2 linked regions of the Danio rerio genome follow. Each later gene encodes a partner of the first gene's protein in a complex. Links are inferred from orthologs where the notes say so. Each region holds a gene or a part of one and is shown in the gene's direction. Other genes may lie near its edges.

Region 1 (4,523 bases):
AACTTAATTACTATTTTTTTGTTTTGTTTTACTCAAATTAGGGTGGAGAAAAAATGAGTATACAAAAAAAAAAAAAAAAAAAAAATATATATATATATATATATATATATATATATATATATATATATATATATATATATATATATATATATATGTGTGTGTGTGTGTGTGTGTGTGTGTGTATATATGTATGTACTGTATGTATAAATAAATTTGGAGAAAGAAGCTTTTTAAAAAGAAGGAAAGTCTTTTTTAATAGACAACACTGAAGAAAATACCATGTACTATTATAATATAATGCTCCAACAAAAAGTACTGCTAATCTGTTATCAACATCCCATATTGAAAGTCATGTTAATTTATTTTAACATGTCAGTAGGTAATATGCCAGTCCGAAAACTATTAAAGTAACTTAAAGTAATTTCACCTAAAAGGGACAGTTTCAAGAAAACAAATATGGTTAATTTATTAAACATTCTGTAAAGTAAACTATTAAAAGTGCTGATAATCACCAGTCTATGATTGTAAGTGTTGTATTGTCGTCTTTCAGGTTGTATTTCAGCTTTGTCGGCTTTTTAAATGAATAAATAAAAAACAAAACAGCTGCTTTTCATGAGGCAGCGGCGCAGTAGGTAGTGCTGTCACCTCACAGCAGGAAGGTCGTTGGGTCGCTGGTTCAAGCCTCGAATCAGTTGGCGTTTCTATGTGGAGTTTGCATGTTCTCCCTGCGTTTCCTCCGGGTGCTCCTGTTTCCCCCACAGTCCAAAGACATGCGGTACAGGTGAATTGGGAAAGCTAAATTTTCTGTAGTGAGTGTGTGTGTGAATGTGTGTGTGGATGTTTCCCAGAGATGGGTTGCAGCTGGAAGGGCATCCGCTGCATAAAAACTTGCTGGATAAGCTGGATGGTGAAATGGGCGCTGCTGTTGCATTGGAATGTTCTATTGAGTGTCGCTGCTTGGTCATTCTAAGCTCCTTGAAGATACACATCAAGCTGCAGACCAGAAGTTCAAAGCATCCTTCTTATGGGATATATGGTAGCTGGATATATGGTAGCTGTTTTAGGATATATGGTAGCTGTTCTTAGGATACATGGTAGCTGTTCACAGTTTATTAGTGTCTATTATTTAATTTATCTTGTACTATATTAGTTAAATGTTTAGTTTATGTCTAGTGTGTGTCATATTTTTGTTTTTAAATTGCACATTGGAGTGTGGGAGAAACGCAGTTTCAGTCTGCTGTGTAATGTACTGTTGCATGGTTTGATTGACATTAAAGTTGACTTGACTTGACTCATGCTTACACGCAAAGCATAATGTGCAATTGTGCATTTTATAAAAAAGGTCTAGCACACCTACTTTTCTAACGTACTAGTTTGTAGTAAAGGGGCGAGGCGAATCTGTCATGGTTACAGGTGTTCAACTGTAGAAAGTAAGTCAAACAGGTTGTTAACGATTGTTAAACGATGACAGAATGTTATCGTATTTTGAGTGAACTATAAAAAAAAATAGTTGTAGTTTTTCCTCCAACCCGATAGATGTCAATCGCGAACATAAATTCCGGTTTGAAAAAAACACTCGCGCGGCGGTTGTGGGTAATATTCATGGCGGAATTCTGAAGCTGCTAAGAAGAGACACACCTTCTCCGTTTTCTCTCCGTCGGTTCAAATTGTGGAATTAATTACACCTTTATCTGTTGAAAAAGTGAATTATCGTCCATATAACTGAAGGAATGGCTGAAACAGGCTCAGGTAGGCGGCGTGTTTGACATACAGCGGGTCTTGCAAAACACTGCAGCTGTTCTCCAGCGCAGCCGGGCATGTAAACAGAGGATTTTACCGCAAACAGATTCTTGTTTTGTTTATAAGTTTTACATTTGTAGCTTTATAAAAGTTTGTAGTTTGGTTTACAGTGCATAGTTTGAATAACAACGTCTAAATAGATAGCTAACTGTTAATGAACTTGCCCAGTAATGCTTGTACGTTAAATGAGTTATGTTGTTTATAGTTAGTTTAGAATATAAATAATGCTTTAATGCATATTATTGTGTAACATTTAGGATTTTGAGTTAGCATTTTATTTAAATAGCTGTTTAAATATATGACAAATGCTTTTGTTTTTATTGTTTAGTGCAGTTTGCAGTCATATAATGGCTGTCAGTGCTGTCCGTGGATATTCATTGAGGTAATAGAGGTAAAGTTGGTTTTATATTTGCACATTCAGACTTTTCCTTAATAATATAATTTCATAAAATTATTATTTGCAAACTCTAAATGGCGAAATCATACTAGCAGCCAGTGACTATCAAAGTCAATTAAACAGTGTTGATGTTGTTTTTAAGTCACACTTGCATGCTAATTCCGATCGAATATTCAAAGTACCATGGTAAACAATATAGAGACTTCCAAATAAACAAATGTGCAAATATAAAACCAACTTTGCCTCTAATAGGGAGTGTGTCACAAGTTGACACCGAATTAATGTGTAAATATAAAACCAACTTTACCTCAGTATTGAGGTAAAGTTAGTTTTATATTCATTCACACATTCTGACTTTTTCCTTAACATAATTAAAAAAAAAATATTCTTTGCAAATTCTAAATATTGAAATCATATTAGACTTTTAAAGTACAACATTGTTCACAGTCAAATAAATAGTGCTGATGTTGTTTTCAAGTTATAATTCGGTGTGATTTCAGACTGAATATATTTTAATTACCATGCTAAACTATGTAGTGAGCATGTCACAAGTAGGCTAAAGAATTCTCACAGGATGATAACCTTGGATAAAAATCTCATGGTTTCACATTATTTTGATAATTGCTCTATTATTATTAAAAAAAAACTATTCCCCATTGAACTCAATATATTTTATTTTGAGAAACATTTATAATATTTTGGAGCTCTAAACATGTCAAACTACATAATTTAAATGAGTCATTGACCTCTGCTGTCTTCATTATTTTCAAAAACACTGATTTCATTACAATTTAAAATGGCATCTTTAAATATATTTTCTGTTGGAGATACTGTTATCCTAAAAAACGTAAAAAAAAAAAAAAACATTCTTACACTTATCTTAGGAATGGTACAGTAGAGCATTTTTGCGGGTTTAAAACCTTGACTTTTTCAAACCTGGTATACCTTGTAAACGGTTATTGCCCAATGCCTAGTCACAAGTTGTTTTCACTGAACGAATGTGCGAAAATAAAACAATCTTTACCTCAATTGAATACTGCATGAGTTGAATATGTCCTGTCATTAACTGCATCTGTTTTCTTTTAAGATCAATCTGGTGACATGAAGCATGACATCGCTTCATCCCCTGGGATGTCGGATTTAGAGAAAGAGGTTGCAACCAATGCTTTCGAGGCGTTTAAGGTAAATAGTTATTATATAGATGTCTGTGAAAGACATATTTTTTGTGATTATTTTTTCCAGATCTCTGTGACATTATATTGCGTTTTTCTTCCAGACTGGAAGCTATGACGAGTCTCTGAAATATCTTGACAACCTTCAGGAGCTGAACAAAGAGGACTACAAGATTACAATGAACAAAGCGGTCACTGAGTTTTATAAAAGTGGGCAGACAACAAGCAGCACCTTGAAGCAGACGCTGATGACCTTGAAGAATCAGGTATGGTATCACTGATGTCTCTATTAAGGGATGCTAAAAGTGAAGGCTTTGAGTTGGAGAGGAAAATTAAGGATGCACCAAAATGATATTTATTTTTTAATCATAGGGTTTAATCTTTTTTTAATAAATTATTCAATATTAACATATATAATATATTTTTTGAGATAAATGGCACATTATGGACACTGTTTTATTCATCTCTTTCTATATATTAAACATTGATTTAGCTTTGACATATGACATCAGTATGATTCAAATATTTTAGAAAAAAGTAATTTTTGATCAATTTATTACATTCTTGTAAATAATAGTCATTTTTATTTACCAACATCTTGTGGAATGATTTATACCATGATGCAAGAAATCTAGTCGAGTCCCGCAGCTCCCATTGTACAGCCGCAGGACTCGACTAGATTTCTTGTATCATGGTATAAATTTCTAAATTAAGTGTGGGAGCGGTCGGTAACTGTTGTTATTTGAATTGGAGGGGGCGGTCTAACAATATCGCTCTCGACTCCCGAGCGAGCACGTGTATGTATGTGTGTGAATGTGAGAGTGTGATGCTGTGTGTCGCTTGCTTGGGGCTGTGCATCTATGTGTGTGTGTGCTTATACAGACAGCTTGTTATAGGCTGTCTGGACCCTGTATCATGTAGCTGGGTGGTTTTTGCCTTTGCTCCTCCGTTCGCGAACACATCAACCCCCGGGAGCGGGATTACAAATTTTAGATCTCTACTGCAGCCCACACATCGAAACACTTTTGGGCCCAAACTGATGTTTCAGAAAAAAAAAATAATAATAAATTAACTGAAGTGTTGGTGCATCAATTTGATTTACCAATTTTGTCTAACAAATGACAATAAAATGACTTTAGACTCTTACTTCTACT
Region 2 (3,826 bases), on another chromosome or scaffold:
TACATTGCTTTTAGTAATTTTTTTTATAGTTGATATGAGTGCAATAATACACACCATTACGGGATTGGACACGGACACATGACTAGCAGCATGAGAAAGGTGTAATCTTGAAAGTGCAATGTTTACATTTTGCATTTTATTTTACGATTAAGCATTTTTGAAAATTGGTTCATATTTTGTTCAGATTTATTTACAATTTCTGGAATTAAACATTTGTCCCGATGTTCTAAGTAAATTGAGAAATATGATCACACATGAATGAGTACTTTTCTGATTATGTACTTTAAATTTTAAAAAAGTATTAGTCCTTTAAATGTGGTCAATATACACTCACCGGCCACTTTATTAGGTACACCTTACTAGTACCGAGTTAAACCCACTTTTGCCTTCAGAAGTGCCAAAATCCTTCATGATATAGATTCAACAAGGTACTGGAAATATTCTTCAGAGATTTTGCTCCATATTGACATGATAGCATCACCCAATTGCTGCAGATTGGTCGGCTGCACATCTGTGATGCCAATCTCCCACTCCCAAAGATGCTCTATTAGATTGAAGTCCGGTGACTGTGGAGGCCATTTGAGAACTCATTGTCATGTTCAAGAAACCAGTACGAGATGATTCACACTTTATGACATGGCACATTATCCTGCTGGAAGTAGCCATCAGAAGATGGGTACACTGTGGTCATAAAGGGATGGATGTGGTCAGCAACAATATCAGGTAGGCTGTGGTGTTGACACAATGCCCAATTGGTATTAACGGGAGCAAGATGTGTCAAGAAAATATCCTCCTCACCGTTACACCACCACCAGCATCCTGAACCGTTGAAACAAGGCAGGATGGATCCATGCTTTCAGGTTGTGGACGCCAAATTCTGACCCTATCATCCAAATATTGCAGCAGATGCACTGATGCTGATGCACTCATTAGAAAAGGCAACATTTTTTTCAATCTTCGATTTTGGTGAGCCTGTGCAAATTGTTGCCTCAGTTTCCTTTTTCTTAGCAGACAGGAGTGGCACTCGGTGTGGTCTTCTGCTGCTGTTGATCATTTGCTTCAAGGGTTTGACATGTTGTGCGTTTACAGATGTTCTTCTGCATATCTCAGTTGTAACAGTGGTTATTCGCCTCGGACCTCTGGTGTCCACATAACTACCGCTCACTGGATATTTTCTCTTTTTCTGACTATTTTCTGTAAACCCTAGAGATGGTTGTGCATGGAAATCCCAGTAGATCAGCAGATTCTGAAATACTCAGAGCAGCCCACCTGGCACAACCATGCCGTGTTCAAAGTTACATAAATCACCTTTCTTCCCCATTCTGATACTCGATTTGAACAGCAGCAGATCATCTTGATCATGTCTACATGCCTAAATGCATTGAGTTGCTGCCATGTGATTGGCTGCATAGAAATTTTGCATTAATGAGCAGTTGGACAGGTGTACTTAATAAAGTGGCCGATAAGTTTATATATACACCATTAATTGATTGAATTTACAGAAATGGTACCATATCGTGATATATATCGTATCGGGATATGAAATTACTTAAATCGTGACATGCTTTTTGTCATATGGACCAGACATACTGAAACGAATGCAGTGTTTCAGTGGAGATTCAAGCTGTGGCTCCATTTAAAGTGTAAAATCTAAAGCTGTGACATCTTCAATTATTCTTCTTTATTTTCAGGCATATTCTTGTGTTTCTTTTAAACAGCGGCTATGACTTTGGGTACCTGATTAAAATTTTGTCCAACTCGAAGTTGCCAGATGAAGAGGTCGACTTCTTTGAGATTCTTCGTTTATTTTTCCCCATCATTTATGATGTGAAATACCTCATGAAGAGCTGTAAGAACTTGAAGGTATTTTATTATTACTGTTAAGAAATTAGCAGCATGTGTGAAATGTGCTGTAAAAACATGTTTCTCATTTGAAACTAATATGTATATATGTCTACAATTATTTCTGCTTGCTTGTAAGTCACTTAAAAGAAAATGCATTTATTTTTATTAAGTTGTTTTCTATTTAGATATTTTGAAAGTCACTTAAAGACATCTGTAATTTTTCTAACTATATTTCTATTTACCAATTTTTATCTGAACAACATTTCTGAATTTTTTTAATATATTTCTAAAGTGCTGTTTAACATTTTTTCAAAACATTTAAACATAATAGATTTAATAACGAATGATATTTCTGTTGTCTTTGCCATTATGAATAGATAATATTTACTAATGTTCCCATAGTTTTTGTAAATACATTTCTATTTACCACTAAATGATTTTATTTATTAAAAACATTTTTTTGTGATTTTAAGTAATCCTAAAGTGGTTTAAGGTAGTTACTAAGGTTAACTGGGCAAATAGGATACTACTGGTACTAGGATAAATTGGACAGCAGTGGTTTGTTACATTTTTGCCAAACTAAAACATAAAATAAAAAATTGTTAAATAAATAAAATACCTAAATTATTAAAAGTTTTTAAATAAAATACTTTCTGCAGAAAAAAATATATAATTGAAAATACTGAAATTTTTCTGGCTCTGTTAAACATCACTTGGAAAAATAAATAAATAATAAATATTTATTTATAAATAATAATAATACACAGGCGACATGAGATGATAATTGTTTTCAAGGTTTAAAAACCGCCACGATTTTCTGCTATGCCACTCCTGTGGTAAGATTTTTATTTATTTTCTTTTTTGTTTTTTTAGGACAACAGAAAGAAAAGAAATCTCCAGCAGAAAAGATATCCAATGATGTGGTTTTAAATAGTAAAGAAGTCTGTGTTTCCAAATTATATACATATGACCATGAAACCGTGATATTTTTATCTGTCACACGTCAGAATCTTATACCAGCCCATGCCTAACATTGATATGTTTTTGTTAACCAGTAAAAAAAAAAAAGGCATAATGCGTTTTGTGTGTGTGTGTGCGTGCGTGTGCGTGCTTTGCAAAATAAACCTGAGTGTGAATGCTTTTTAAAGGCATCACAGTTTTTGGATGGCAGCACTGTCGTCAGTGCAGCACTGAAGTATGAAGTGTGTGTATGTGTAAGTGTGATTTGTGCTGTGCTGCGCAGGGTGGCCTGCAGGAGGTGGCAGAGCAGCTGGAGCTGGAGAGAATCGGACCTCAGCATCAAGCAGGCTCTGATTCGCTCCTCACAGGAATGGCTTTCTTCAAGATGAGAGAGGTGTGCCTTCAGCTAAACAATAGCCAAAAAAATGCTAATCTTATTTGATATGTTAAAGTGGCACTGCATACTGACTTTAAGAACATTGTCATTGCAGATGTTTTTTGAAGATCACATTGATGATGCAAAGTATTGTGGTCACTTATACGGACTGGGTTCAGGCTCATCCTATGTCCAGAACGGTACCGGAAATGCCTACGAGGAGGAGGCCAACAAGCAGCAGTCATGACACAACAACAATCCCTCACCATAAACAACCTCATATACAGGGCTTAAAACTTGGCTTTTTAGTTGTCCTTGTTTTGTTTTCCATGAGAGATTTGATAGGAATTTGCACTTTAAAGCTCCAATCCAACAGATCGGAGAAAAACTTCTTCCCTTTGTTGCCTTCTCTGGGTTAAATCTTTTCACACAAAGTTCATCTTTTATAGTTAAAGAAGACGAACCATTTGGTGTTTTAGGTTTTTTTTCCCTCCCACAGCTCAGCCTTAATATTAAGCTACTTTTTACGTTCTTCTTTTTTTATCGTTAATTTATTGCATTCGTTTCTTCTTGTGTATTGTTGCGTGGTTCATCGACTGATTGCACCGGTCACCTACATGAACTGTCATTCCCTGATCACTGACT

What was found.
Region 2: cnot10 (region 1) and cnot7 share a complex: the UniProt entries of both Homo sapiens proteins name them as parts of the CCR4-NOT complex. The link is inferred for Danio rerio from reciprocal best matches to the Homo sapiens genes CNOT10 and CNOT7.

What each region holds. Positions count from the first base shown.
Region 1 is NC_133191.1:8,036,102-8,040,624, forward strand, and holds the start of cnot10 (CCR4-NOT transcription complex subunit 10), read left to right. Parts: upstream 1-1,580; 5' UTR 1,581-1,730; coding exon 1,731-1,749; intron 1,750-2,128; exon of another isoform or gene 2,129-2,191; intron 2,192-3,284; coding exon 3,285-3,379; intron 3,380-3,473; coding exon 3,474-3,635; intron 3,636-4,523. UniProt on the Homo sapiens protein: Component of the CCR4-NOT complex which is one of the major cellular mRNA deadenylases and is linked to various cellular processes including bulk mRNA degradation, miRNA-mediated repression, translational repression during translational initiation and general transcription regulation.
Region 2 is NC_133189.1:34,925,904-34,929,729, forward strand, and holds part of cnot7 (CCR4-NOT transcription complex subunit 7), read left to right. Parts: intron 1-1,691; coding exon of another isoform or gene 1,692-1,718; coding exon 1,719-1,863; intron 1,864-3,088; coding exon 3,089-3,199; intron 3,200-3,296; coding exon 3,297-3,428; 3' UTR 3,429-3,826. UniProt on the Homo sapiens protein: Has 3'-5' poly(A) exoribonuclease activity for synthetic poly(A) RNA substrate. Its function seems to be partially redundant with that of CNOT8.